Astyanax mexicanus: one gene and its partners. The protein of the gene in region 2 purifies or fractionates together with the protein of the main gene of each other region. This does not show direct contact. Links are inferred from orthologs where the notes say so. Each region holds a gene or a part of one and is shown on either strand. Other genes may lie near its edges. The genes, in order: bet1l, gosr1 and bet1.

Region 1 (10,471 bases), on a different chromosome or scaffold from region 2:
TCAGTTACAACATCATAAAATAAAACAATAGAACATACTTACATGTTTACGATGATTCCCTTTTTGCACTAGCTAGCTAGCTAATGTTTAACACATCTCCCAAGACATTCCTTTCTCTACTAGGGCTGCAACTAATGAATATTTTTTCGATTTTTCGATTAGTCGAAATGATAGAAACTGATGAACATAAGATTTATAGGCATTTAAATGTCTAGCTGTTGGTTAAACATGGAGAGTACTGATATTTAGTGATTAAATATGTAACTAATCTGTTGGGTTTGGGCACTTTTGAAGACACAGAATAAATTGAGTGTAACCTAAGTGAGTGATCCATTTACCCATGTTTCATTGTGCTTTTGTCCCCAGCACTTTGTGTAATGCAGTACTGTTACAAATGAACGATTAGTCAACAAAGAAATTTGTAGTTGACAAATTTAAATAATCAACATTATCGATTATTTTGACTAATCGTTGCAGCCCCATCTCTACTGATGCCAGCATGCTGCTTTTCCAGTTTCTGTTACTCATCAAATGCCAGCCATGGGATACACATTCAAATTCTGACACCATGTCCCATTTAGAGAAATTAAACTGGTAAACAATGAAACACAATGAGCTGCACAGAACATTATTTACAATGTTCAGGACACAATTTGCATGAACCAAAAATAAAAACTGTTGTTATTTTATGTTATTTTATGATAACATAAAACACAGTTGGTTTTATTAGAAGGTCAAGATAAAAAAAAAAGTTTCGGGAGTCTACCGCATATCAACAACGGCTCCCTGATGCCCGCAAGTCAGATAAAATCTTTCGGAATCTAGAACAAGTGGCCCAAGGCGCGCACGCAGGCGACACAGACTTTTTTCCTAATCGTGTGTGTGAGTGAAAGGTGCTATCCTCGTGTGCATATTTATAATGCACATGTAAAACAGAAAGGGCGGGCAATGTGAGGGCGGGCAATGTTTTTTCCCCTCCTGTAAGTGATGTGTTCAGTGAGAAAGAGAAGGAGCATCATGGCTCATTTCACCTCATGTCACCTCTGACTACTCTAAAGTATATCCATTAGATGAGTTACGTCCAGGTTAAATGTACACAGTGTTGTGTGGAGCTGGTAAAATGGACAGTGGTTTTAAAAACATGTCCAATCAGTTTGTATAGATATATAACAAAAATGACATAGACAGCATACAATTAACTACAAACTAATGTAATCTACTAATGAGACTAGAGCTAGAAAGCAGAAGGAGCCTGGACCATATAATAATAATTCTCGTTCCTGTCAGCATGCCCATTTTCTAGTCTGTAACAAATTATTCACTTCAATCAAGATAAAAAAAATTATAAAAGAAAACAAAAATGTTTAAAAAACAAACTTTATTAGTTATTTTTCTTATATACTATATCTACTCTCAGTATTAAACATAACTCTTAGCTACATACTCAACAATTTGATTTAAAGTTCAGCCATATAAGATCAAAGCATTCACACTCAAATCAAGCATGTATGTATGCACACAAAAGAGAAAACATTTAGAAGAACAGAAATTGGTCCATGGTATACTCATTATGTTTTCAAGCATAACAAGTGTCTTTAAAAAACAATTTATTTTGTAATAAGATTGGAATGCATGAAAGAAATATTTTTATAGTTATAAAGTCTTTTGGAAAACAACAGACAGATCTTAAAGAAATTATTTTCAGTTCACTTCACCCTTTAAATATACCAGGTTTAGAACCAGCAAGCCCATTAGTAAAACTGTTTTTGTGTAAACATGAAGAATAGAGTACTGCATTCACACATGTTTGTTTCTCATAAAACTGAGAAGATAATATATAAATATTTTTCAGTTCTGTATTCTCCTGACTAGATAATAAAGCAAAAAGAATGTCAACACCAAGCCTATGGATACATAACATAAAATCTTTCGGTTGTCTCTGCTGGAGCGGACCATTGTGGAAAACCTCTTCACGCTCCCTGTCAACAGTCCAGTTGCACTGAGGAAGTTTGAGTCCTAAAGGAAGATGATACAAAAAATTACCATATTTACAGACCTCATGTTTCCATTACATGAAACTATACTGTAAAAGATTGGCTATTCAGACCTAAGAAACACTTTTCTAAACATACATTTGATCTTGAACATAATATATCTAGTCTTAGGATATATTACAGCAGTGTTTTTTAGATAAATTCTAAATTGAGTCAGAGAAAACACACACCATGCCATCCAAGTATGAATTCTGTTCGTCAGCCTCTTTGTCAATTTCAAATGCCAGCTGTGAATGACAAAACAGATAAATAAAAACAAAGTACATTTATAAATTTAGCCCAATCATGAACACATTGTTAATTATTTAGACAGACTGTCTTCATTGACTGATATAAGTGATTATAACATACCGACTTCAATCTAGATACTTTGGTTGCCAGATTGTCAGCCATGCGTTTGTTTTCTTCATCCAGCATGTCATCTACAGCCCCATGTCCTAGGAAGACAGTGGTAAAAGATGCACATACATTTTATAGTTAAACACAAAAGTAAATAATACTTTTTTTTAATTAACCATAAAATTATTGGATTACCTTTTTTGTGCAGGTAACATGTGATTCTATCAAGGTGACAATAATTCTAAGAGACTAAAAATGTTCCCTCAATTTAGTGAATTGTTCTCTTGATTTAATAATATTTTTGTTCACTGTAATAAAGATTCCCCCTATTTAATAAAGCATTCACTCTAAATAAAAAATCCATTCACTCAATTTAATAAATTGTTTCCTCAGTTTAATTAAAGTGCTTCCTCTTAAAGGGACCCCAAACCATATTTTTTTCATTAATAGCTGAAATTAATAGCTAAAATGAAAACAAACCTTCTACATATATATATATATATATATATTTTTTTATAAACATTTCCTAACCTTTAAAAAACTCTTTTATTGCCATCATTTCTGCCTCTGCAGCACCCTCTCAGGTTCGACTGTTATAGGTGAGGATGATGTGTCGGTGTACTTTGGTTCACAGACACTCACAATCTGCAAATCAGTCAATCAATAATACTGCCCCCTACTGAGGTCCAACATCTACATCTCACCGCTATTAGAGGCACACTGCTCAGCCCAATCAGCTCCTCCTTCTGCCCACCCCATCACCCAGTGCCCCTCCCATTTTGGCAAACAGCTGATGCTTTTGTCTCAAAAGTATCTGAGACACATATACAATGTGTTATTTTAGTGTTTCCTTTATGTATTTATTTATTCTTTGAAAAATGTAATATTTAGAGACTTACAACAATCCATTAATTTAATAGAATGTTATTTTGATTTAATAAAGCATTTCCTTAATAAAAAAAAAACATTCACTCAATATATTAAACTGTTTCCTCAATTTAACAAAAGGACTCCTTCTTAACTGAACAAATAGTTAATTTTATAGAAGGAACAGATGGTTAAAATGAGAAAACGATTTCTAACATTTAGGGAACAGTTTATGTCTATATTTTATTTAGGTGTTTTGGAGGACCAGAAATGTCAAAATAAAAAATAAATGAATTAACTAATTAGCTAGTGTTTGTTTACTCCTTACTTCTTTTTTGTTTCTTCATTTCCTTTTTATTAATTAATTAATTAATTATATTGGCAGTTCTGGTCCTCCATATTTGAGAAGCAGATTATATTATATGCTCTATTTTTCACCCAATTTAAACAACATAACGCTTGACAGTGAAATTACTAATTATAATTTATAAGAGCCTCGTGTGAATGTTTGTACAGTGGATTTGAGTGAATCTGGAATCTTGACAACAGGATCCTCTGATATGTTAACACAGCTAAAGCTAGCTAACCCAACCAGTGTAAATGCGCAGATGAGCTAATACACCGTGTAAATGGCATTTCATTATGATCGAAGAACATTAGAGGTAAAGAACTGATACTTTAGTGTCAGAAGTAGAATAAATACGGTGAATTTCAGTTTGATGTAAACTGATAAACTGAGGAGATCCAGTTAGCCCTCTCTAACTTTAAAAACTGCTGTATAAGAGGAGCGACGTGTCACTCACCCCTGTTCCAGTGATCAGCCATCTTTACAGACGATCCTTCACTATGAGAGTCCCGCTGTTAAATCACAGTGACGGAGAAGAAACCTGAATAAAATCAGTCTTAAAAGACACTCAGATACCAATAGTCACTCGTATGAGACCGTTTCGTCACAATCCACAACACGGCAGGAGTCTGTGTGAGATCAGAGCCGGGTTATAGAGAGTTCACACTATACCTGTCTCTCCTGTTATATCAGAGAATTACCGCTGGCCGCCAGAGGGAGCCCGCGAGGGAGTCCTTAATGAATGTGGTGAGTGGAGCTAAACGGCTAAAAACTTAAATTAAAATAGTGTCTAACTATGTACCCAGGATATTACCATAATTATAGAAAGAGAAATAGAGTATTTTGCTACAAAAAAGGCTAAGAAATGTTTGAATGGTTTTCTTTTTTTTTGGACAACAAACTCGCTAGCATTACTGCTACTGTGGTCTGACTGGTTGGTGAGCTTTTGATGGAGATTCAACAAAGGCGTCTTTAAAAGGTTTGTAACTGCAGTTTGAAAGCGTTTAAAATCATGTGTGCGGTGCTGAAACATGTGATATTGTTGTGAGAAATTAGTGTTTGTTGAAAATTAAAAATATAAAACTTTTATAAAATCAGCTTTCGGCCGGGAGCGCCCCCTAAAAAGCCCGGAAATGATTCTCGACTGGGTATTCTCCTCTCTATCAGAGGCTCTTCTGCTGGCCAGGCGTTTTGAGCACAGACATTTATACATAGATGCCACATAGAGCATAGACATGTATATATAGACGCTACATAGCCTGCCGCCATATTGGAGGAGTCAACTATGAACCCATGAATGCATTTATTAGTATTGTGTGTGTGTGTGTGTATGTGTATGTGTAAGCATGTATATATGCGTATGTATGTACATATAAATATAAAATTAATTCATGTATACACTTATTAATATGTCATACCATATGTCTGTCTTTGTTAAAGAGCATAATATAAAGTATTTCAGCTTGAAATCACATATTCGTAATGTGTGGCAGTGTCCTGAATCATTACTACATCTCTGCTGTTTGTAACAAACCAAACCGTGTGAAAATCGGGTATAAATTGGTAGATTTGTGATTATTATAGGTGTATTAAACACCTTTCACTAATAAATGCACTGGGGGCGCATGATTGACTCTTCCAATATGGCGGCCACGCTGACACGCCAGTTTCATCTATGTATTACTATCTATGGTTGTTATATCCTGAGCGAGGAGGCGCGGGGGGTTGTGGGATATGTTGGTCCTCTGGTTGGGGGATGAGATGTGGAGCTGCGGCGGCGCTCCGCTCAGAGACACTGCTGCTGCTGCTGATCATCATCACAGATGCGTTGCATAAGATGCTCAGCTAGATAACGCGAGCATCCTCCGTAAAGAACCCGCCAGACAGCTCTCTCGCGCGCATGAGGATGATCTTAACTTCATTTATTTCCTGGAATTATTCTGTATTTTGTTGCGAATTTCGCGGGTTAAGTATTTCAGCGTTATTAACTCGAGCTTACATAGGAATTGTTTATCTATGATGGGGGTTTATGGCGAATGGCGGCTGGATGACCATCCATTCAAATAAGCGAGCTAACCTGGCTATCTGACCTCTCTTAGGTATCGATAGCTAAACAGAGAGCACTAGATAAGGCAACTTGGCGATTTTGTATGTTAGCAAGCTAAACCTAGCTGCCAGTGTTTATGTGATTAAATAAAAACTGTATTTTGTTGTTGTTGTAGTTAATATCACACTGCGCACGTAGCAAGTGAGTCCTGTCGAGTGCTGTGTTTAGACTGGTGATAATCTGCTGTTTTAATTAGTAATGCCTCAGTTGTAATACAGCGTAGATTTAACGATTTTTATTTATCTGATTTTTATGGTAAAACAATGGTAAGATTTATTACCGACGAAAATAAAAAAGGCTTCTGTAAACGTGGATAGATTAAATCCAGTGAAATCTGATACACCTGGATGTGAGTGGGTCACGTTCATGCTGTTAAACTAAAGCTGGAGATAATAATATTAATCTCTCTTTGGTGCTGTAATTCCATATCTCTACTCTTGAGTGGATAGCTGGATTAAAAAAAAACTGGGATATAATCTGTCAGTAATTGAACCATAGTATTTTGAGTGATAGCCTAGCTATGTTTTGTAGTGGTCTTTACTCAAACCTGTTGTTTCACTGGTATTGTTGAGCACAGTGAAATTAAACTACTGTTTCAAGAACAGCATTTCCCATGAATAACAGAATAACTAATTTAATTTGTAACTTTGTCATTTAATAACGTAACTTAGTCTTTTCTCAAATAGAAATAGATTGATTTCATAAAACAACCTTTAAAGTAGACACTATTATGATAAACTAATAAAAAAAAACTGAATAGTAGTTTATTTAGTGTTTTATTGTATAGTTTTTAAGAGCAAACCTCTAAAACTCAGCAATGTTGGCCCGGAAAGGCCTCCTGCCTGATGGATTTCTGCTGACAAGACTGGCTGAAGATGCCACACAGCCCAACCGTTTCCGGACCAAATCGCAGCGAGCTCGCTTCATCACCAAGAGCGGATCCTGCAATGTTGCTCATAAGAACATACGAGAACAGGTAGAGCACTTGGATCACGCAGTCATTACTTTATAAAATTGTTTTTGCTATGCATTCACATCATTCTATAACCTGTTAAACTGATTCTTGATAAAGTGAAAAATGTCTGTATTTCACTATTTTATAAAGCTCTTCTTTGATAAAGATGCATCAGTATGAATTATTCGCATACTTTTATTTCTCCTTTCAGGGTCGGTTCCTCCAGGATGTTTTCACCACAATGGTCGACCTCAAGTGGCAGCATTCGCTGCTCATCTTCACCTCAGCATTTCTCTGTTCCTGGATGCTCTTTGCCATGGTGTGGTGGCTCCTGGCATTTGCCCACGGTGACCTGGAGCCACGTGACCCCCATGATCGTGGGCATGTTCCATGTGTCACTGCCATTCACTCTTTTACCTCAGCATTCCTCTTCTCGATCGAAGTCCAGGTGAGCAAATGGCTGCATAGACTGAAACTTTGGTGGACAGTCTTGTACTATTTAGATGTCTACACTCATAGCAAAAGGGTTCTATATAGAGTTGAAAAGGCACATATAACAACCCTAACAATACTAGGGATGCACCAAATGTTCAGAACCCTATATTATTTGGCCAAAAAAGAGCACTTTTGGTATTCTGCTAAATAAGTGAAAAGATTGAATAATTTGTACTGAACAATATTGTTTGTGTGTCCTCTAGAATGCTAAACATGTTCAGAGTTTAGTGTGTTCAGTCAAAATTTTTTATTTTTTTTTTAAACCCAGACAAAAATGTGTTACCTATTTAATTTTACTCACTGATGAAAAAAGTGGCAAAATTAATGATAACCAATGAAAAAAATGTGTTGGCTTTCTGAGCAACCCTAAACAATCTTGTATTTTTTATTTTTAATGTTAGGTGACCATCGGTTTCGGTGGGAGGATGGTGACTGAGGAGTGCCCACTGGCCATTACCGTTCTGATCATCCAGAACATTCTGGGACTCATCATCAATGCAGTTATGCTGGGCTGTGTGTTCATGAAGACAGCTCAGGCTAATCGACGAGCAGAGACACTCATCTTCTCTCGCAATGCTGTCATCGCACCACGCAATGGCAGGCCCACGTTCATGTTCCGTGTTGGAGACTTGAGGAAGAGCATGATAATTTCTGCTACCATTCAGCTGCAGGTGAGGAAGAGCTGAGCTGTTTATTATAGTCTATTGCAGGTAAAGGTGCTCTAGTTCCACGAGGTGGATGTTGGTTGATCGTGTTCTGTCACTCTGTGCTCAGGTCATTCGGAGGACAGTAACAGCAGAAGGGGAGGTGATTCCAGTCTGCCAGCTGGACATCCAGGTGGAAAACCCCCTCAGGAGCAATGGCATCTTCCTGGTCTCACCACTGATCATTAGTCACACTATTGAGAGAGGAAGCCCACTTTATGAGGTCTCTGCCCAGTCACTGCCCAATGAGGACCTAGAAATCATTGTAATTCTGGAAGGTAGGTTGTTTTCTGGCCTGTGTGATGTCATGCATGCCATTGCATTTAATATAAGGGAAATTCATGTGACGTAATGAAATCACTACTTTGTTGTGCTATAAAAACTTAAATTCTTAAATTGATATTAAAAAATAATAAAAATGAAAAATATGCTTAGTAAATTAAAATTACATATTAATGCACAACAATTATCATTAGAGTTTACAGTGGCCACTGTCTTCTATTTACAAAGATGAGAGAGGTCTGTAATTTTCATCATAGTTACACTTGAGAAAAAAGAGAAAAAAATACCATTGTAGGACTTTTGTAAATTATGGTGGAAAATAAGTATTTGGTCAGTAACAAACAAGCGAGATTTCTGTCTCTCACAGACCTGTAACATCCTCCACTTCTTACCTGTATTATTTGCACCTGTTTGACCTCGTTATCTGTAGAAAAGAAACCTCTCCATCGCCTCAAACAATCAGACTTCAGCTCCACCATGGCAAAGACTAAAGAACTGTAGACATACAGGATCATTAATTATCTCCCTCCATCTGGGGACCCACGCAAGATCTCATCCCATAGGGTCAAAATGATCATGAAAACGGTGAGCAGAAATCCCAGAAATACACAGAGGAACCTAAAGAATGACCTGCAGAGTTGGGACCAAAGTAACAAAGGCAAACAAAATATGGATGATCCAGAAGAAAACTCAACTGGTCATGTTTAGAGAAAGAAGAATACTGAGTTGCATTCCAAAAACATAAGGGTGGAAACAGCATGCTTTGGGCTGTTTTTCTGCAAAGGGGCAGGACGACTGATCTGTGTTAAGGGAAGAATTTATGGGGACAAATATTGTGAGATTCTAAGCCAAAACCCTACTTTAATCAGTGAGAGCATTGAAGATTGAATGTGTCTAGGTGTTCAGCATGACAGTGATCCCAAACACACTGCTCGGCAATGAAGGAGTGGCTCAGTAAAAAAGCATTTCAAGGTCCTGGAGTGGTCTAGCCAGTCTGCAGACCTCAACCCTATAGAATATTTGTGGAGGGACAGCACCAAATCATCACTGCTGTAGAGGGGATTTGCATGGAGGAATAGGCCAAAATACCAGCTACAGTATGTGCAAGCCTGTTGAAGACTTACAGGAAACGTTTGACCTCGGTTCTACATTGTGATTTACTGAATTTTTTTCTTGTTTTGTCTCTCATAGCTGAAGTGTACCTATGATGAAAACTACACACTCATCTTTCCAAGTTAGAGAACTTGCACAACCGGTGGCTGACTAAATACATTTTGCCCCACTATTTTTATCCTTAAATAGGCCAGACGGGTCCAGGCTGTCATTTTTAGCATTTTAGAATAATCAAGAACAACCTGTTTTTCTTGTTGTTACTGATTGATAAGTCTTAGGATGCAATAACTGCACTTTTTTATAGCCAAGAACATCGAGTTTTGAGACAGGCAGTGTGCAATAACAATTAAGAAACTGTCAGATGCAACATTTTCTGAAAGCTACATTTAACACAGTTAGGTTTATTAAATAACCCTTTGTTTCATCGACAGGCGTTGTGGAGACGACTGGCATCACCATGCAGGCACGCACATCTTACACGCCAGATGAGATCCTGTGGGGGCGGCGCTTTGTCTCCATCATGACTGAGGAGGACGGACGCTACTCGGTGGATTACTCAAAATTTGGCAACACTGTGCCTGTCCGAATGCCCGCCCTCAGCGCCAAGGAGCTGGACCAGACCAGAGGAGTGCAGGACAATGGCCCACACGAGGGCAAGCCACAGGGCTGGGGGCTGGTTCGTGCTGGACGGGGCGGGTACAGAAGGGGTGGAGGCCGGGCCTGTGATGACAATGCAGCCAGGCCATGGTACGCTCCAGCCGAAAAGGAGGACGATGAGAAAGGGAAAGAAAAGAAGGGGCAAAAGAAGATGGTGAAACTAGAGGTGATAGGGAGAGAGATTGAGGAGGAAGCCACAGAGGATATGAGTGATTAAAAATATAGCTGATATACTGTACCCTGGTTACTGCTGTGGAAATAACAGTGTAGCTACAGAGTGCTTTTAATGCTGTTGAGATTTTTTTTAAACAATGCAACATTGTGGTGTTTTTAATTTGAGATAAATGGGAAGCTGCTTTAATTTTTAATGAACTTTTTTAAAAATGAATTTTAATGAATCTTTCCTTTATATATCTGCACTTTACTAAATACTTGGTTCTCCTTTTCTAAAGAACAGTGCAACACTCTGTTGCATTTGTAGTGTTGGCATTCATGGACAATAACATTCCTCCCCTTCTTAAAGAACTCCTTTATATTTCGGAGCCAGTAGAC
Region 2 (10,989 bases):
ATATCAGGGTATCACTGCATTACACTATTTCACAATTACCATAAAAGCATGGGTTACCAATATTATCTACTATGGGCGGGTGTGGGTTCAGGTTTTCATACCAACCAAGCAGAAGCACATCCTATATAGTTAACCACTTGTTTAAAGGCTTAAGCTAGCTGACTGAGCAAGTACAATTAGAAGTGCTTCTGCTTTATTTGAATAAAATCCTGAACCCACACCGGCCTATTGTGGATAAGATTGGTGATCCATACCCTAAAGCATCAACAGAACAATACATATAAACAGATTTATAAATAGGGTGCTTCACAGACCAATACCTATGCCCTGGATGGCTGCTAAGGGATTTTAATACATTTCTGGAAATACATGGATTTAGCTGTTTTCATATTGTTCATATACAGCTCTGTAAAAAAAAAAAAAAAAGAGAGATTTTACCAAATTGAAAATCTTTGGAATGTAATCAAGAGGAAGATGGATGATCACCAGCCATCAAACCAAGCAGAACTGCTTGAATTTTTCCACCAGGAGTGGCATAAAGTTATCCAAAAGCAATGTGTAAGACTGGTGGAGGAGAACATGCCAAGATGCATGAAAACTGTGATTAAAAACCACCCAATAATCATTTCTGGATGCTTAAAACTTTATGAATATGAACTTGTTTTCTTTGCATTATTATATTTTTTGTTATTTCAGCCATTTCTCATTATTGGAAATAATAATCATAATTTATGGAATAAAACAACAATGTTAATTTTAATCATACATATTCCTATAAATAGCAAAATAAAGGAAACAAAAAAAATTCAGAGCAGTATTTAAACTTTTGTTGTTTGCTCTGATACCTATAACATGTTAGAAGGTTATTCTGAACCTGCACTATGACTCCTAGAATAGCGGGATAGGTGAAATAACAGCTGGGCTCAGACAGGTTAACATTACGATGCTAACAGACAAAGCACTACAAACAGCTTGTCTTGACAATGTCGATGAACCAACAATTCCTCTAGGGGGTATCCAAAATAATCCCATGCTGCTGCTGATTTTAGATGTTTTTGTTTATTATTGTCTGTTGTTTTCTGCACTGAATGTGTTTGAAGTTGGTGTCAGATGTTGAAACTATTGGGCAGTCAAGGTAGAATGGAGATGTACGTGTGTGGGTAAGAAATTGTATATTTCCACCAATATCGGTAATAAAAAAAGGTCCATGGTATAAGCACCATACATTTTCATATCATAGTATACCATAAGCTCAATAACAACAACAAAAAAATAAAGATTACTAACTTTAGCAAGAAGCTGCTCAATCTCGACTGACATGGTCTCAAACATTCTGTCTTGAGTGGAGTTGTTGAGGAGGGGTGTTGTGTCAGAACTGTTAGAAAGGAAAACAGAGAACAAAACTAAAATAAGAAAAGGGTGTTTCGACAGTCATAAATTAAACATAAATGCAACTGTGTCGCTGCAGCTTCACTTGCTGCTATTCACAGGTACCTGTCTCCTCTCCGACCATCCCGCGAGCTGCTGTAGCTGGTGCACAGTTTACTGAAGGACACCAGCTTCAGGTCGAGCTCATTCTCCAGCTGTCTGGCCTGCTTGCGCAAGTCTTTAACAGGACAAAAAAAAACAAAAAAAAAAACACAAATATTAGAGAAGAGGGTTCATTGGCATAAAGTGTGCCCAATCATGGTCCTGGAAACCTAGCAGCCTAAAGACTTCATTCTGATGCATGGCCTTTACTACCTTGATCAATAGATTAGGTTTCTACAGGAAACGTGCAGATTGTCAGACCTCCAGGACCAGGATTGGGCACCCCTAGATTACATTTAATGCCGGCCTCACACCAAAGTCTTTCTTTCCAGGCAATTTCTTTGAAGCAGACCAATTTAAAATGTCATAAGGAAAACACATGAGAGCTGCAAGAGTTACAGTGTGCATCTATCTTGATAATATTAATAATATTAGCTTTTTGGCAGCTGTCTTAGTTCATTTAACCAGGGTCTTGTCCACATTATGCTATATCTTTTTGACATTCTAATACCAACCAAACAATGGATTTTTTTTTACACTTTTAGAACTGTTAAAGTTTTCTAGTGTATGGTTGGCATTTGATTTGAGAGAAACACACACAAAAAATCATTTAATACGATATCATCTCTCTATATCAATGTCAGTATAGTCAATATAACAATATAGTCACCATTGTTAGTGTACATAATCACAGGCTAATGGGTGATATATTTTTACCCAGAGGTGGAAAAGGTACTGAAAAATTGTAATTAAGTAAAAGTACCTTTACTTTGCTAAAATTCTACTCAAGTAAAAGTACCCATCTAAAAATCTACTCGAGTAAAAGCAAAAAGTACTCAATTTAAAATGTACTTTGAGTAAAAACTTTTAATTATTTGATATACAAAAGTAAAAACAAATAATAAATTAAATTTTGTTTAATGAACTATTATTCCACATAATTATTTGGACCTTTAAGGCAGTATTTATTCAGACCACCCCATAAAACAAGTGGCATAGGTTTCTATGATCCATTTTTTTTTCTTTACTATTAAAAAGTTATGGTAATATAGGTTACTATAAACTGTATTTTTATAGTTTTACAGTTCATTATTATTATATTTTAACTTGCCATTGCTATGCTTTAACTGCTATTTACATGTTTTTTAACATTTAAGCAGATTGTTTAATGATAAAAGTACTTACACCACATGCTTCCGCAGGTTTGATGTGAAAGTTTTGAAAGCTGACAGCTGTCTGGTGGGGCACATTTTGCATTGCATGAGGACGTTATTGCCTCGTTATTCCACGCGCGAGCATCGGTGCCAATTTTTTTTTTTTAATTGAGACAATTGTTTTTTTTTTCCCCCAGCATTTTTTTTACTCAGTAACGGGGAGTTTTCCAATGTAGCAAAGTAAATTACTTGTGTCAAAAATGTACTTGAGTAAAATTTAAATTCCCTATTTTAAAAACTACTTTAAAAATGATAAATTACTCATAAAATCTACTCAATTACAGTAACTTGAGTAAATGTAATTCATTACTTTCCACCTCTGTTTTTACCATATCAATACTTAAAGAAACTTTCAGGACAGACTGTACCATGTTGTAAACAAACAAATATCACAAGTCTTCTAGTGTGCATTGATTTCATATATTGATATTTTATGGTATTGTGATACATTTTCTTATCATATCTTATCAAAATGTCAGGGCAATAAGAAAATACTACTACTTACATCTAATGCCAATCACACACAAGAAGACTTTAAAAAGAAGGCCATGATATCAGTCAGTGGATGACACCATGTTATCAGATGCCTGTCAGTCTGAATGAGAGGTAGATAGCTAGCTAATTAACCTAGATTAGCTAATGAAACATGGGGCAAACAAAGCAGATTTTTTAACTAGCGAGTTGCGTTTACGTTGTAACTAAAGTGCTTTTATCACAGAGCTCAATATTCCTTTATTTTCTGCTTTGTAAGACAGGAACATCTACATATCAACAAGATTATATAATACATTAACCAGCGTTAAATGGACTAGGATACATAGCTCGATAACTAGCTAGCGTTAGGTCTATAGATACAGCGCTGGAAAAAAATTATAGGAAAACACTTAAAATGATGAGTTTTTGATTTTACCAAATTTAAAAGCTCTAAAATATAGTTTTGAGGAAGATGTCAAAAGCGGTGTGTAAGTCTGGTGGAGGAGAACATGTCAGAAGCATAAAACCAGGGTTATTCCTTAAAGCTTTATGAATATGAACTTGTTTTCTTTGCATTTTTTGAAGCTTTGTCTGAAATCTCTGCATCTTTTTGTGATATTTTAGCCATTTCACATTTTCTGTAAATAACGTTAAGTTAAAATAACGTTAAGCTTTAAACGTCAATATTTTTATTGGAATTTGGGAGAAATATTATCCGTAGTTTATAGAATAAAACAACAATGTCAATTTTACTCAAACATACAGTATACCCATAAATAGCAAAATCAGATAAACTGATTCAGAAAATAAAGTGTTCTCTTATTTTTTTCCAGGTCTGTAGTTATATAGCGTCAGCTAAGCTAACTTATCCCAACTCTAACCCACAGCCAGCTGGCTAGCTTGCTAATTAGCTAGCTAACTACATCACTCTTCAGTTGTTAGACGAAGCCATTAGGATAATAAACAGGCTATATCACCAGTCAGGTATTCATAAAAATAGCTGACAAATTATTCTGTAAGGAGTTTGATATTCTAGCTGAACATTATTAACACCGGCTACCCGACTCCGTGCTCGGCTAAATCACTGACGTTACGTTAGCCAGCTTAGCTTAGCTTAGCTTAGCTACCCGCGCTAGCGTTACTTAACGGCGCTCTGGTAAAGTGTGTCCCTGTGTTTCGGTCAGGCCTGGCCGCCTCAGACAGCACCATACAGAGCGGAAAAGTTAGAATAAACGTCTCCCGAGCGCTTAAAACACCACATACAGCCTAAATAACGCCAATCTGCCACCTCACCTTCCCAATAGTTGCTGTTTCCTGCCATCTTTGTTGTTGAACGTCATCCGCGTCGCGCTGGCAGAAGGAAGACTCCGCGGCTCAGCCCTGAAAATCTACCCACAGCGCCGCCCTGCGCCCCGAGCACCCGCTCACACACAGCCCGCTCCCAGCCTCAACAACACAGATCCTACTTTTTTATAATAACGTTACCTGTGATTTAATATAAAATAAATCAATCTACCTTTATTTTCAGTGAGGGGAGCCCTGACTTTTTATGCAGCCTAGCATTTACAACTTGACTTAATAAAAATATCTATTTTTATTGATTTTAATCGGGATAAACTAAAATGAATAATTGCACAAGCTAACAATAAAAGAAATGCTATTAAAAATGTAATTAAAAAAGGGACACGATTTTAAATAAAAACCTAAGGGAATTAAATTAAAGTTAAAATTAAAAGTAGACAAGCTAAAATGTTACTATTTATTAATAAGCTATTATATATATATATAATTATATAATTATAATAGTTAATAAAATATAATATCATAAACTATTTAAAGCAGTCAAAACTATTATAAACACCTAAATATGAAATATAATTAGTAAACAAATAACAATTAAATTAAAGAAAAAGATGGAGAATATAATTAGAAATAAACAAAAACGCCATACAAAAGGTGATCAAAAATAATGAAAAGGGTAGATTAAATAAATACACAAATAAATGAAAACAAGAAATTTAAAGGCAAGAGGTAACTCCACTAAACGAAAAAAAAAAAAAAAACTAAAACAGATATAGGCTGTCTCGTATGGAGGTGATTTTCAATATAGTAATTCCTGTAGTTTCCTGTAGTAAATTCCTGCTCATTGCTGCACTGTAGCTAAGAAGATTTTCCAAGTTCCAAGTAAAAACATGCCACCAGAAAGGTAATCCAGTCAGTAGAGTGTGTCTAATTATTGCTGTTGTTTATAAATAACTGCACATAAAACAATCATAAAGAGCTTCTTAAAACACCTGAATATTGTATTTTCCAACACACTTTCCTGCTGCCGTTTTAAAGAACCTGGCATTTGGCTATTTGCTGGTCGACACCCCACCTGTCACACTTTAACTGGCACATAGTAAAACTGGGGTGACTCTGTGGGCCTTGCCTGCTATAGACCACTGAAGTCGTGTCATTATTTTGTAGTGGGTGCCATGTTGTTTATGCCCATATTTGGGGTTTCGTGTCTAAGAGGTTCAGATCTATGGGAAATTTGAATAGGCTTTTCAAAAACTGGCCGTTGTCACATTCTGTGGTTAATAAATATGTTCAGAACCCTGTACGTTTTAAGTGTCTGAATGGACCATCTGGCACAAAAATATGTCTGAGTGCAGTCAGAGACTTTCTGTAATTGTATTGAACGCATACTTCACAATTTGTTAAAAATCTATCAATTGTTGGTACCATATATGGAGACTACCTCTCTTTTGTTTCAGAAGTTTGATAACTTCTTTTCTATGGACAGGTCCTGGTCCATTAGCATCGCCAATTAGTATGTTTAACAGGTGCATTGCTACAGGTAGGCCATTTGGGCCATATCACAGATTACTTGCTTAGCCCAAAGTCTTAACAAACTGCTAGCTGCCCTGGCTTACCGGACCACTCAGAGTTCCTCAGTGTAGCACTGTCACAGAGTTTAGATTCTCTGCCCAATTTCTTTGATGATGACACAAACACAAACACCTTTTTGTATCATCATAAATAAAAAATATTCACCACAATATTTTTACTCACACTTATTTAGTCTCAGTTACAGATTCAAGTCAGACATTCGAGTCATTTCAGCATCAGATATAAACAGCAGTTTATTCACACTGTGTTCCACCGTCCACCCAAATTGCACTTAAATCATTTTACATACGGTTGGCATCACGTAGCTATCTACAATCAATCCCTTTTGTATAAAAAGGAAAAAATATATATACACATCAGCACAACCAGACCATACAAAAGCTATACACAATTGTTCAGTCTCACACACACACACGCAAGCACACAACCAAGGTTTGCACTCAAGCATGAAAATCAGCAGAAAAGCCATCATATTGAGTTCATGTAGCAATGGAAACAAACAGTGAACAAATGGACCTTTCCCCAAGCCTTTCTACTGTACACTGTGTTTCTTAATGGTGGTGCAGTAACTTCATAACTGAATCAATTAAACAAACAAAAACAAACACTGGAGACAATACAGGATGGTTACCAACAGTTTTACATATTGCATTTCATATGCTCTGGGGATGGACAAAATAATGCGAACACCAAAATAAGAAAATCATAGTCTGAATTTTTGTATAGGACACAGTCTGCATTCTTATGCATGATAACATGAATTACCTGTGGAAATACTAAATCAACATCTTAATACATGAAAACAAAAAAAATGAAAAAATCTTTAAGGCAGAAAATGATTTTGCCTAGATATATTATACATTTAAAGCAGGGGCACTGTATAAAATCTTATATTTTATTACTAATTGAGATGACCAAATGATAACTACATACATTAAAACCTCGCTCAGATGGATTAATAAAATATCAGCTTGATTCTTAATAGAAAGGATGAGTTATGGGGTCTCACTCACCAATACTTTCCTAAGTATTTTCTTTCATTTGTCACAAAAAAATCTAAAGTCCAAAAAGTCTGTCCATCATTACAAACTTAACAAAATCCAAATAACAAAATACTGGTTAATGTCTGTATCCTTATAAAAGCTGCTTTAGAGAGTTTAAGAACAAATTTCTACTTTAGAGCGATTGGTGAAGGTGACCCCTGGTCCACACATATTCATGAATTTTTTCAATCAGACGTTTTCCTCTGTTTTTTAAAATATCTCCCTCCATACAGAGACTTTAAGGGCTGAAGGTACATCATTGGGAGAGACATTAGCAGAAAGAAAACACAGAGGTTTAATCCTACAATACATACTACTCCTCAAGTAGTGTATTATGCAAGTCACAAAACTATAGATTCTAAATTTAGAAGATTTAGAGGTTCGGCCAGAAATAGAAACAAGCTCGTTTTTTTCCTGTCTACACAACTAAACTGAAAACAGAAAAAAATAAATAAATACAATTTCCAGCTTTATGGGTGTTTCTAAAAAAAAAAAAAAAAAAAAAAAAAAAAAAGCAGTTTTTAGTGACTGAAACGCTAGGATATAGAAAAGGACATGCAGATTTGAGTGGAAAGGGTCTTTAAACTGACCAAACTCCTAATAAGGATCAGATTTTTTTTGATAATTTAAATATGCAAACTGACTGACTGATTTTCAATATGCAGTTTACATTAGGGCTGCACAATATATTGTTTAAGCATAGACATCACAATGAACAATAATTGCAAAATGTAAAATCATGTGCAGCAAACTTAACTGAACATTAAACATTATTGCTGCTTTAAACAGCAAGTGAAATGATCTAATTTTAAAGCCATAAATCTCATGTTCTTTTCTAATAAGACTTTGTCTGGCTAAGCATTCTAAATGTTAATTGATTATGTGATTATTTTGTTTATTTTAGGAATAAATCTCTTAAATCAGTCTAATTTAGAGTTTATCTTATTTTAAGTCATTTGAACTCAAAATAAGCGCAAAGAAAATACGTAATATATTTAATAAAATCTAATATGACTAATCTACCAGAGGCAGATTATATCTCCATAATACAGTACAGTGTTTCCCCATAAAGGGGTCAGCCTTTATGGGGAATGCTACACAGCATTCTGAATGTAGATTTACCATTGAAAGGAAAATTTAGTCTATTTAAGTACTTAAATAGTATTAAAGTGGCTAAATTAATGAATGAATAATTAATATTGCAAAAACACATCCTTCTGCAAAATATTTCCAATATCGTGCAGCCCTAGTTTACATCAGTAAAAATGTGGGAAACATGACAAATTCATAAAGAAATCAACAAACAAATCAAATATGTTATTGCCTTTTCCAGAGATTCTCTACCAGAGCTATCTACTTATTCAGTTCATAATTAGAATCCAGTGAAATCCCTATAAAATCACATTTTCCACTCAGTACTTCTGATCAACTGTGACTGGAGGATTCTCTGAGAAACAACAAACATAGTTAACAGCTTTTAAAACAGTGTGTGGCCAACATCAACTCTATCTGTGTACAAATCTCCAACATTTAATACCCCAGTATATTTAAGTAGATTAGATATGCACAAACAAGCCTGCTGAAAGAGTGCAAAGAAAATATATCAAATAAAATAAAAAAAAATTAAAGAAACAACTTTATACATTCTTGGCAAGCTGAATACCACTCACTCTGAAGTGACTGAAGGCTTCCATACAATCCTGTGTATTCTTAGCAAATGTGAGTTAAAGTGAGGCTTTGAGTGAAAGCTAGGCAACAAACTGACCCGGTGTGTATGTGTATAATAGGGGTGTAACAGTACGTGGGTAAAAGTTAATTGTAGGCAGTCACAAAAAGAATGTATGGTATGATAATGTAGCATAGATAAATATATGCTGTTTGGGTAAAAACAGTGATTTCACAAGTGTGTGTATTACCCAGAAAATAAGTAAATTTATATGGTATAATGGAAACTGCATCAGTATTAGACCAATATTCTATGGAATGCGGCACTAGATTGAAGTAAAACGTTTTTTTTTTTGTGTATATATTTTGCAAGGTTTAAGCAGTGATGCACACCAACCCGTGACTAATGTGTACTGTTACCCCGTTACAATGTTACAGTGCTCAAGAACTGCACTCTTTAAAAAAAAAAAAAAAAAAAAAACTAAATGCTACTAACGGTTCTTTGAACGATACTAAAAAGAAAACAACTTTTGTTTGGAATAGAGATACAAAGTGATTGTAAAGAACCTTTTAAATGGAACCTTTATTAAGAAAAGATTTTTCATATTTTTAAATCATTTCTATGACAAATATGGTATTATTGAACCAAAAATGGTTCTTTCAGAGATAAGGTTTGGCTGGCTTTGCTTAAAAAAAAATGTGATTGAATAAAGGGAAAAAATAATGGCAGACTTCACAGACATATGGAGGCTTTGCTGCATCAAGCATGACTGCAACCAGTTATTTCCGCTGGGAGGACATAATTTGGAGCCATGATTTGGTGAAAATTGGCAAGCATTAACTCAAAATTTCCTTAATAATTTTAAAAGAACTTATTCATTTCTAAATTGATTGGCTGAATGCATTATTCACACTAGTTACAGAGACAAGGGCCTGAGGTCCCCATCTGCTGCACTGTTAACTCTGTTAATTCCCCACTGTATTTAATTTATATTCTAATCAGTGTAAAATTAAACATGGAAAAGAGCCTCAGAACCACATAATGTTCATCTCCTGTTACATACAATGCATATTTGCACATAAACTGTGACCCTTGTGTGAAAGTAATAGGTCAAAGAATTGAAAATAATAGGTCAATTAATAGCTTAGCCAGCATGCTAACTGAATAAGTGACTGTTATACTACGATTGTTCAAAAAACGTTTGTAGCACCCTGTTTTTTTTTTGTTTTGTTTTTTTTAAGAGTGTGAGCACAGAAAGGCAATGCATGATCTGATTTAGAGTTGAGGTGGTTTGGATCTTGCCCTCATGTTTCCACCTGACTTACCCAAGTCCTCATAAACAGAGAGAAAAAAACGTGATGCATAAGCAGCACTCGTTCTCAGAGAAATGTCTTTATTTCCACAACCTCTCGCCTGTTTCCTGTAACTCCAGGGGTTATTGTATGGGACAGTGTGTGAATAAAGAGAAAGGCTTCTTATGTAACGACCCAAATGTAAAAAGTATGGCAGAGAGGAGAGTCTGAATTACACTACCTACACCCGTCTTCACACCTCACGACAAGCCAACAGGCAACAATGGCTCAAACTAATCAGACAAGGCACTGTGTTCAGTAATCCTGTTGAGTTTCTGTTCACTTGGGCAGTTCAGTTAGTGCTGTACTGGTTCTGTACGGACTGGACACCTGCTGGAAGAGCTGCTGAGAGGTTACTCACACACTAACAAGCAGAAAGATAACACTATCCAAACTCAAATAAATATAGGGCTGGCTGTGGGCAGATAGTACAGTGAATCTGTACAGCGATTATTTGCATACATCAAGGTGTGAAACAGATGACTAATTTGGACCAATCGTGGCAGTAAAGTGCATCCTGTGATTGATTTCTGTGTTTTGATGGGCCTTTGAATCGAGCGCCCCCTGCTGGGTTCCTCCAGGAGCAGGCCTGTGAGCTCTGGACTGCAGAATAAGAAAAAAAAAACTGAGCCACCAGGTTCCACTCGGCCCTCTCCGTCACTCTGTCTCCTGGAGGGCGGCGCTGTGGGGTGGAGGCAGAGTAGGTGACTGTAATAGGTGTAAGTGTGCTGTGGGGTAAAGGGGGTTCATCAGAGTTTGTTGGCATACAGAGTGTCCTCATCACTTTCACTCTCGTCCTGGAATTCATGGCTCAG
Region 3 (10,337 bases), on a different chromosome or scaffold from region 2:
GTTCAGCTTAAGTTTAATGCCCATAAATCTATTGAACTTACTATAAGCTACAATCAGTTGATCTAAAACTGTAGTGTATGAACTTTTATATTTGTGGGTGTCTACATAGCTTTTAGCTTTGCTCACAAGCACTCTAAATTAATAAGGTATAGATGTTATACTTTAAAACATAAATTCTGAACATGCTGATGTAAACACTTGTGTCCACTCTAAACCTCATTCATCACTCTGAGGGATAATATAAGCAACTCCACTACTTTAGCCAATTAATGGAATAATCCTTTTACTGGCATTGTGGATGCCTCCAAGGGGCAGCAAGGAAATATGGACAGTTCTTGTTAAAACACATATTAAATTTGCTTTGATTTTTAATAAAAAAAAAAAAACAGATTTATCATGTTGCCTTAACAAAAGGTATTTCTCTACTTGATAAGCTTGTAAATATACTGATTATTGTAGTTTTCTTGTACTATCTGTAACTGAATGTATGATCTCACTTATTTTACAAGAAAAGGAAAATAATTAATAAACAACCATACACAAACAGCAGACAATTCTCTTGTCATTTTTTCTTCCCAAGCAGAAGTTGAACAGAACCACATGATATATACCTAGAAGAGATTGAGTAATGCATCATAATGCTGGGCCTTCATAAAGTTATGTCAAGATAAAATGTAATATGTGCTTTTTGGAATAAAACACATATTAAATCAGGCAGGTCAAACTCCAAGTACAAGCTAAGAGAGTCTGTAAATACCTGTGTAAACCTACACTGTGGATCTCAGCTGATTGGTGCACTTGAGAGAGGGATATCCAGTTAGTACTGTTAAGTCTTTACAAAAAAAACTATACAGAACATTTTGGCTTCAGATGATTTTTAATGCCTGCCATTTTATTTATTTACAAGTTTCGTTAGAAATACAACATAAAATATGCATTCTTATTATAGAGATGAAATTAACACAAAACGCAAACCCAAATTACTCTTAGCAGTCGACAGTATTCAGTTAACGCAACAAAACAGACAATACTTGTGGCAGCGCATTTCTCTGCTTTGTCTGACCTGCGTCAGCAAGGCTTTTATCTGCTCACTCAGGTACATTAACATCCTTGTTTTGGGCCAGTTTATAATGATTATGCATTAAGTGATGTACAAAACAGCAGATACTGAACCATCACTCTTAACAGCTTGCAATGGCCCACACTGGTATTACATCATTGTCTTTGTATCTCTGGATAAATACTGACATCAAAAGCAATTAATCCTCTAAAATCACTAATGTGGCAGGAGGACATTGTGGCATGTTAAGAGGTTTCTGCCCACAGTACTGCACAATATCTGATAAAGATTTCCCAATAGGACAGATTTTAGTGGTACTCAATCTTCTTTATCCTTATCTTTACTGGTGATTCTGATCGTCTGATCCAATGGGCCATGGCACATGAGGGAGAGTATGTGTGAGATTCTTTAGTCCTTACATCACCTCAGTTTGATCACCCAGTAAAGGATTACGAAGACAAAGAGAGCAAACAGCAGCATGTAGCAGTAGATTTTGGTTTGGCTTCCTCTGGAAAGCAGCTTCAGTCTGCCCATGGTGGCTCCCAGCAAACCGCCAGTGGAGTCAAAATCTGTGTCCTACAAAGTTTTGAATAGAAACAGAATTTAAAGTTTAGACTTGTTGTGTGTTCAAGAAGGAAAAATACCAAACTGTGCTGGACAAGAATACTGGTTTAGGCAATCAGTGATGATCACCAGTGAGATAAGCACAACAAAGGCTTAACATAGTCTTAACAAATAACCTTAACAGTAACCCTAAATTAAGCAAAAAAGCCTGCATTAAAAAAAAACCCAAACAACCATGTGACAGGTTCCATTTGCATAATGTGTCACAATACAACATCCAACACAGGTCACATGACAAAAATGCAAACTTACCATCTCTCCCAACATTTTATTCTGGTGTTTGACTTCATTTCCAATGTCAATTGATAGCTGAAAGAAAACAAGAACAAACAAATGCATTAAATGTCAACCTCACCCCAAATTTACATTTAGATTAATTCAGTGTAAATATGTGAACAAATCCTCTTATTTATGAAGCAAAAAATATAATTTTTTTGCATACCTAGAAGATAATCATGTTAATTATCTTAAAGGCAAAAGATCAATCAATACATCAAAATGACCTATTACATCATTATGCACCAGCATGCACTGAACATACCATTAGATTAGAATATTCTACATTCACACGTGTTGCAGCCTGGACCATGTTTTATGCACCCAATTAGAACAAATGTTCTAAATTTAACAGGAAGGAGTGGAAAAAAGAGAAATAAGTGCAAAAAACATTAAGAAATAAATATTTTATCCTATTCAAAAAAAAAACAGTAGAACGATTATTAATGGGTTGTATACAAAATGATATGGACCCTAAATTGGTTAAAAGTAAAATACTTACATGCTTCAGTGCATTTACTTTTGCTCTAAGACCTTCCTGTAAATGTTCGTTCTCCTCCTCATAAACACTGTACCCACTTGCGACATAGTTTCCTTGTGGGGCTCCCTCACCTGTGAAACATTAACAGGTAACAGAAATGAGTTACATGTTGCAGTTACATTTGTACTTTTCTAAATAATAAACAAGTATACTTCCTCAAAAAGAATCTAACTTGTTATAATTTTCTCTTTTAGATTTATTTCTGCTGACTTATTTTTTGCACGTTAGTTTGTGATGTGTTGGTGACGGCACCTTAAAAATAGCCTGTCACTTCTGAACTTTGACTACAAGCATGTAATCAAAGATCAATCGTATAAAAATTATTATATTAATTTTATTAATAATATTTTTGATCTTTTTTTTTTTTTTTACTCTGAATCTAATAAAACATATTCAACTATTCAAAACATATACTGATCAAACTCAGGAAGCTTTACTTAGTTTTTTTACAAGGTTTCTAATCCAAAGATGGTTACAAAAATCATGTGGCATTTAAAAAGCAGGTTTAAAAGCAAGTCCACAAATTCCTTTGATTTTCTCTTAAGAAAGTCTTTATTTTAAAAAACCTTTTTAAAAAACTGCATGTTCAAATAACTGATATTCCAGACAGAAATCACACCTGTTAACAACACTCATTCCTGTTAATGGAACTCATTTGTAGTATCAATTTGTAGATATAGATATTTAATTTAATGCTTTGTCATATTGCCAAGAATATCGTTATCACAAAAAATACAATGACATATTGTGATATGATTTGAGGGCCAAGCCTAGCTAAAAGCAAGCTAGCTTCACAGACTAAGTTGACAGACTCTCCAAAGAGGAACCCAAGAGGTTCCTCTGCAAAAGAAATATGGTGTTCCTGGTACATAATTTTATATCTAGCTTCTTAAGTCATTGAGGTATGAACCGTTTCACTTTGGATTACTTAACCTAGGTGTGAAAGTGAAAGTACAGAGTGAAGAATAAGCAGTAGGATAGTCTGACTGATTCAGTGTGCAGTCTACACCCTGGTTAGTTATAACGGTACTTGTATATTTATCTGGCTAGCTATCACAACAACTCTGTGGTCTTCTGCAGAACAGCGATAAAACATTATATTAGCTTAGATTTAGGTTATATAATTAGCTACATAACAAATGAACAAGAGTTTGGTAGCTAGCTATTAGCAAAACATCTGTTCGTGGCCTTGTTATCTAAGTTAGCTAATTAACTAGCTAGGTTAGCTTGTTGGCCAGGTAGAAAGTTCCACGTAGGAAGTTCCAGCTAGCTAGCGTTAGAAAGCTTAGCTAACGCAGATTGTGTATAAACTAGCTATAGCTACCTAACAAAACCCGCAGTAAATATAAACAGGTTCTATTCTGACAGTGTTTAGACTGTGTGCTCTACATTAGCCTCTGACAGGCAGGCGGCACCGGCTGGAGCCGTCTAACCCAGTTAGCTTAGCTTAGCTTAGCTTAGCTTAGCTAACCTATCCAACTGTGATTCATATAACTGCATAGAGTGACTCACCCAGCCCTGCTCGCCTCATTTTACAGTCTGCACCTAAACTCAGCCCCTCTCTCCCTCAGTCCCCCGCCGCTCAGGGTTCAGTATAAATATAAGTTAATGCTGAATTAGCTCCAGAGTCAGTCACAGATCTGTAGTTACATTAGCCAGCGCTGCAACTTTAGCCTACGTCCTCTCGACACGACATCCTTCGGGAGCCGCGACGCTTACAGCGATAGAGGCTTTTGGGTAATGTAGTTCTTTGTGTGTTTCAGCGTGGATTACACACATATCAAACGTGTCAAAAATAAGTAAAGACTTTATTACTCAGGTAGAAATATAGACACTAGGGTTTAAAATAGTTATTTAAAAGTTGAAGTATCAACTCAAGTTTTTAACCCAAATAAAAGTGTAAAAGTAATGGTTCTAAAACTACTAACAGTATGAAAGCAAAAGTAATGTAAGTGGGAAAAATGTCATTAAGGACAAAAGCTTAAGCTCTCTCCAAAACACATTTTTCTTAAAGGCATACTGACAGAAAAAAGTCTGTTTTGCCTGTGTGTACTTTTGCGTTCACTCTTGGGCCACTCGTTCCATATTCCGGGAGATTTTATCTGACTTGCGGGCATCTGGTTTTATTGAATTCATGTCTAATATGTATTTTCTGAATTTCTCTGATATAACAGCTCAATTCTTATTCTTCAGGTTAAAGGGCTTCCTCCTTTAAACAGCTATAACATGTATTTGTATCAGGCTACAAACAGGGCTGCTTTATAAATTCATGCAATGCAACTATGTCTTAAAAGCATTTGACACTGTTTTACTCTTATTCAGTGTGGGCATACCTTTTCCTAATATTACTTTTATATTTTTTACACTTACTTTTTAAGTAAAATCTGTTATTTCACTTGTTTTAGTGCTTTTTAAAACATGTTGATCCACAGCATAAAGGCTATAAAACTCGAACTATGCAGCCTTTCAACACACCTTTAACCTAAATATCTAAAATAAAATGATGTAGCCTAAAATATACACTTGCTTCTCATCCAACACTTCTCAGTCTTGACCGTTTGCTATTTTATCAGCCATTCCTCATCATTCTCATGTAATAGAGCTAATCACCTCAAAGTCCCTGTGAAATCCTAACTTTTCTAACGTTACCTCAATCACCTCAAAGTCCCTGTGAAATCCTAACTTTACTAACGTTGCTACCTGTTTATGTGCTACAGTCTGTCTCTCGGATTTTGAAATTTAAGTCTCAAAAGTAGGACGTCTGGTCACCCTAGCTTAGCTCTATATGTAATGTGTAGAGGCCATAGAGCACCATCATTACAGAGAACAATGTTCCACTGCTCCACTGCTTAATTAGTGAGACCTATACTGTTGATTGTTGGTGTGCATTTGCACATCTTTGTCATTAATGGATGCAACTTAAAGCAGCTAAATGTGTTTTTTTATAAGTGGTCAACATTTGAACACATAGTGTAGGTAGTTAGAAATAGAGATTTAAATGGTAAAAGTTTAACATTTAGTGTGCAGTGTAGGAAATAGGGAAGAACATGGTATGAAGTTAAGCTGGCATGTACAACACTGTGCAAATAAGCAAACAGTAGTGGATAGCTAATAAATGATTTATATTTATAAACGCAGCATGTCTGGTGTATTGTCCTATGCTGTGTATACATATTTACAAACTCATATTTCAAATGCCACTGGGCAGGATCTAATATCATGTCTTTTGTCATATTACATGGATAAAGACTGCTGCACTGACCTGCGGGATATGTGTGTGGTTCCTCCTGCATTGAATGTGGATGTGATTTTTTTTTTGCATGGACAGTTCTAGCCAGTCACAGACGATAATAATTATAGTAGTATATGATATACAATACATTCACACTGAAATGAACCCATTAAATATCTTTTGATCCCTGGAAACAGCTCAAAAAAGCAATGCGTTCACCACTAACAGGGTTATAAACAGCTTGGAGGGATCCTGTGAAATTCTTTGCAAGAGTGATTCAGAATGATGACCACTGTAATAGAAGAGGGCGTAGATTTATAGGATATCACAGAGACATGCTTAAGTGGTTATATTAATGCTAGCTCACTTCAGGTTCAGGTTCTGTAACCTGGTTTAAAACTTGACAGTGGCTAATTCCTTTGACTCATGTAATATGGAGAGGCAGTGTGTGCTTTAATATGACAGCATGTAGCCCGAAGGTGAAGCGTAAATGAGCTCTCTAAAGCCATTAACGGGAATGTGATTGGAAAGCTCTGAACCACTGTGGTCAGTAATTTGCTGCTGCACCACAGACTGTGTTTTTGAATCATCACTGCACCCATGCAGTATATCATATCATATCCTACATGTTGCATTTTGTGGGTACACCATATTCCAATATAATTGCATTTAATATACCATCACAAATCATAATATCTGGGACTTCCATTTGTTAAGGCTTATCTATTCCTGCATTCCAGGCTCACAACACATTCCAAGCAAAATGTTGTGGGATTTTATGGCTGGAGCTTTGGATTAATTATTATAATTATTATAATTTTGCATAGACCTCCACACCATAAAAACATGTACTTTGCAAAACCAATGCAAAGTAAAAAACCAATGCAAAACCACTGCAGTCTTGTGTTGCCTATAAATAATGTTTGGAGAATTTTGCAATGAAAAATGTGATGACCCCACACTGTTGCACATCCCATATTGTCACAACCTTTTTGGAATTTTGTTTTAAGACAGAAATAAAGGAATGGATGTACTGTATATTGGAAAATATTGAGAAATTAATTTATACAGTATATATTGGGTATATATTAGGTTGTATATTTTACATGTTACTGAGATGTATCCCACATCCATGTGCATTGCATTTTGCATTATCTAGTTTTGCTTTTTATTCTAGCCCATGCTGTCATTTCTTATTTCCTGTTGTATTGTGTAAGATGTGTAATATCTGTCTCATTTGTGCAATGCCCCTTTATACAGTCTCAATACCCCCTCCTACAATCACAATTTCAATACCTGCCCCTCTCCCCTGCTTTATGAAGATTATGCTGGTGTGCAATAAAAAAATAATAAAATGCAATAATATGCAATTCATGCCGTTCAGTAAATTCACATAGCAAGTTACTTTAGTAGTGCATTAGGCCTAGCTCCACTGGCATATCACCACTGTCTAAATTAAGCAATATAGCTCTAAGATATTACATTTACACAAGAAGGCAAAACATCCCATATTTGGTTTATATTGGTCTATACGTTTTTAATAATTTATGAGGGGAATTCATATATAATATCAGCACAGGTAGAAACAATGTGCTTTATTTACACTGATATATAAAAAATAATAATAAAATACACTTTATTTCTAAATATTTTCTGGACACACTCACAGATGACACACACAAACATACAGCTTGCCTATTCCCAGTAAAGAATTGTTGCCAGTAGAATAGGACTCTTTAAAGCAGATTAACATGAAGCTACTGACACCAAAGGGAAAAAAGACGTCCATCTTTGAGCTGTGGAGCAGTGGAACTGTGTTCTCTAGATTTATGGAGCTCCAACCAATACATTTGGAATGAGTTGGGGCATTTGTGATGAGGCAGGGTGGTGATTATTCAACATCCTAACCTCACTACAATTTTCCTTTGTTCTCAAAAAGTTCCTATGTTCTATTCTGTTTTGTTTCATTGTTTTGTTTTGTTTAATAAATACATTTGCGTCCACATTTTTGCTAGGTTACCTGTATGTGGTGGCGTAATACACTGAGAGCTTTGGCTACAGTGCATTACCGGCTGATAACAGCACTCATAGAATGCTTCTCACATTGCAGGGTCAGAACTAACTGTGGTATAATATACAGTAAACATTCTATACAAAGACAAAGGGCATAAAGACAAAGTGACAGTTCATATTGGGCTGTTAGAGCACAAAGGGTTATCAATGACAGGATTGTGGATTTGGTCCCCAGATTGGTACTCTTTTACCAAGCAGCAATAGTTTACTAGTGTGTATGTGTGTGTTCACTGCATTCCATCTGTACCCATAACAGGTATTGTTAATAGTCTTGTCATGTCTTGTTTAATAATGGATGTGAGAAAGTTGAACAGAACAGGTCTGTCCTGTTAATGACTCAATGCACAGTAATGTTCTGGAACAGTGAAGATGTGCTGCACAGTGTTATCACTGCTTGTGCAAATGATGTAATGTTTCTTGCAACATCAGAGCTAAACGTGTCTGAAATGTCAAGAAAATGTCATACAAAAGTACAGCCAAAGTATTTCTCAAATGACTAATGAGAAAAATAAAAATACAGATATAGTCATGTGCACAACTGGAGCATCCCTGATTGAAGTTGATAAATATTCCCAATAGAGAATATATTTTGGCACATTGTTATACATACATAATACATACATAATTATTGTTAATTTGCTTAAAAAAATTGAATGTTGAACAAAATATGGATATATAAATGTTATGGTAAACTTATGTTTAATTATACCACAGTTAGTTCTGTCCCTGCAATGTGATTGGCTGAGAGGAGTTTAATGAGTAACATTATCAGCCAGTAATGCACTGTAACCAAAGCTCTCCATGTATTACTCCGCGCATACATAACCTAGCAACATTGAAGCACTTACAGCACAGCTGCAAGCAGAGCAGCAATTAACTATTTTACCTCGCAGAGTCTTTACAACCAAACAGATCATATTTTCTCGTTCTTTTGAACTCAAAATCTTTTAATAAACAGTGATAATGAAACTGTGGTACAATCACAATAATACACTAGAGGTTTATGCTATACCGTGTAATATTGGCACAGTGCCATTTTTACACGTTATAGCATGAACCTCAAGTGTATTATTGCTTATATATGTACTTAAAGCACTAAAAGCTAATGTTAGCTAATGTTTAGCATGTTGTGAAGTTTGAATGTGTGTGTGGGTGGGTTTGAAATCTGCGGAAAGCGACAGCATGTTTAGTGTTTGACTTCTAGTCAGTTCCTCAGGAACAAGGCCAGGGAGTCTGCAGAGCAGTGTGTGAGTCGAGGCACAGCAGGTCGTCTGTCATCAGCATTCATCATCATGCTCACAAATCCATTCCATTTCAGTGCAAACTGTGGGTTAACGGCCTCGCTGTGATCAGTCTATTTTTCTCCCATGTGCTCAGGAGACACCATGATCTGCTGGAGATTTACATTTCAATCTTTGTAGAACATTAGCTGATGACATTGGGCAGTCCATAGATAAGTGGTCAATGACAGGTTTTGTTGTTTTGGCTCAATAGTGCTTTGGAATTGGAATGGAACATGCAGAGCGCAGTAAATCAGCTTTAATTCAAGCGTATTTATATGTAGATTGGCTGAACCATATGGCAACCTGGGCATGCAGGTGTTCAGAGTGCTGAAGGAGCTCACAGTCCCATTTCGGGGGACCATAAGTAATTGAACAATTATCAAGCAATCTTAAATAAAAATTGTCATGTTTGCAATCATGTTTGCCTGATTTGCAATCCTTTCAACCCCATGACTCCCTGAAGTCTGCAGCACATAGGCATCATCAAATGTTGGGAATCTTTCCTGGGGATGTTTTTGTTACATCCATTTCCTCTTTGGTCTTTAGGCTTTAAATTATGTATCAAATAAAATATGTCCAGAACGGTAACATACACTATGTGTCTGTATTTTGTGGACACCCCTTATATGTAAAATGTAAAATGTATAGCAGCTAATAGACAATGGTGCCATATACAACGCTACCATTATAAAGCCAATTAAACAATATTTTTTCCCCACCTCCAGGAGATGGCTTCTACATAGTAAGTATAAGGTGTAAGGTGTTATCTTGTGAGTGAGGTTCAACACTGGACAGGATGCTAATGACAAGGCAATGTGAATTGAATTAAGTTCGAAAAAAGGCCTAATCAGCGTCACATTTGTACCAGGAAATAAATCATAGAAGGCAATACCACCTACAGTTGACAGTGCAGTGGGCTGTAAAGATCATGGTTGGCGGCCCCACATGCATATTCTGCAGGTCTGTGCAGTGTTTTTTTTTTTTAGGTTTCCTGGGACATGGCAAAAGTCATGGGACATAAAACCTGTGTTCCTGGGTGTGATTATCACACAGCTGTTCTTTTACAATTGATTGCAAATTGCTTTATCACACCATCAAGCGGATCCAGATATGAGTCACGATCAGCGAACACACTTTGCTTTGATACATCCCATGTCTCGCATTGCCTTTCTATCTCTCGCTGACTCACTTCTGTGCATGCTTATGAGACAAGGGCTTACTGAGTTACCCCTGCAAGTTCTCAAATCA

The links.
Region 1: the proteins of gosr1 (region 2) and bet1l purify together in Homo sapiens (affinity purification with western blotting; 3 studies listed by BioGRID and IntAct, with this or other methods). This does not show direct contact. The link is inferred for Astyanax mexicanus from reciprocal best matches to the Homo sapiens genes GOSR1 and BET1L.
Region 3: the proteins of gosr1 (region 2) and bet1 purify together in Homo sapiens (affinity purification with mass spectrometry; 3 studies listed by BioGRID and IntAct, with this or other methods). This does not show direct contact. The link is inferred for Astyanax mexicanus from reciprocal best matches to the Homo sapiens genes GOSR1 and BET1.

What each region holds. Positions count from the first base shown.
Region 1 is NC_064409.1:47,837,072-47,847,542, forward strand, and holds bet1l (BET1-like protein), read right to left. Parts: upstream 4,290-10,471; 5' UTR 4,086-4,289; coding exon 4,064-4,085; intron 2,492-4,063; coding exon 2,406-2,491; intron 2,282-2,405; coding exon 2,225-2,281; intron 2,017-2,224; coding exon 1,849-2,016; 3' UTR 1,384-1,848; downstream 1-1,383. Other genes in the region: kcnj11l (potassium inwardly rectifying channel subfamily J member 11, like), read left to right, coding at 6,531-6,689, 6,880-7,116, 7,565-7,834, 7,938-8,145, 9,694-10,136. UniProt on the Homo sapiens protein: Vesicle SNARE required for targeting and fusion of retrograde transport vesicles with the Golgi complex. Required for the integrity of the Golgi complex.
Region 2 is NC_064425.1:15,911,728-15,922,716, forward strand, and holds the start of gosr1 (Golgi SNAP receptor complex member 1), read right to left. Parts: upstream 4,672-10,989; 5' UTR 4,540-4,671; coding exon 4,512-4,539; intron 1,607-4,511; coding exon 1,495-1,606; intron 1,376-1,494; coding exon 1,288-1,375; intron 1-1,287. Other genes in the region: cpda (carboxypeptidase D), read right to left, coding at 10,924-10,989. UniProt on the Homo sapiens protein: Involved in transport from the ER to the Golgi apparatus as well as in intra-Golgi transport. It belongs to a super-family of proteins called t-SNAREs or soluble NSF (N-ethylmaleimide-sensitive factor) attachment protein receptor.
Region 3 is NC_064410.1:48,640,343-48,650,679, forward strand, and holds bet1 (BET1 homolog), read right to left. Parts: upstream 4,222-10,337; 5' UTR 4,033-4,221; coding exon 4,014-4,032; intron 2,573-4,013; coding exon 2,463-2,572; intron 1,994-2,462; coding exon 1,937-1,993; intron 1,637-1,936; coding exon 1,481-1,636; 3' UTR 859-1,480; downstream 1-858. UniProt on the Homo sapiens protein: Required for vesicular transport from the ER to the Golgi complex. Functions as a SNARE involved in the docking process of ER-derived vesicles with the cis-Golgi membrane.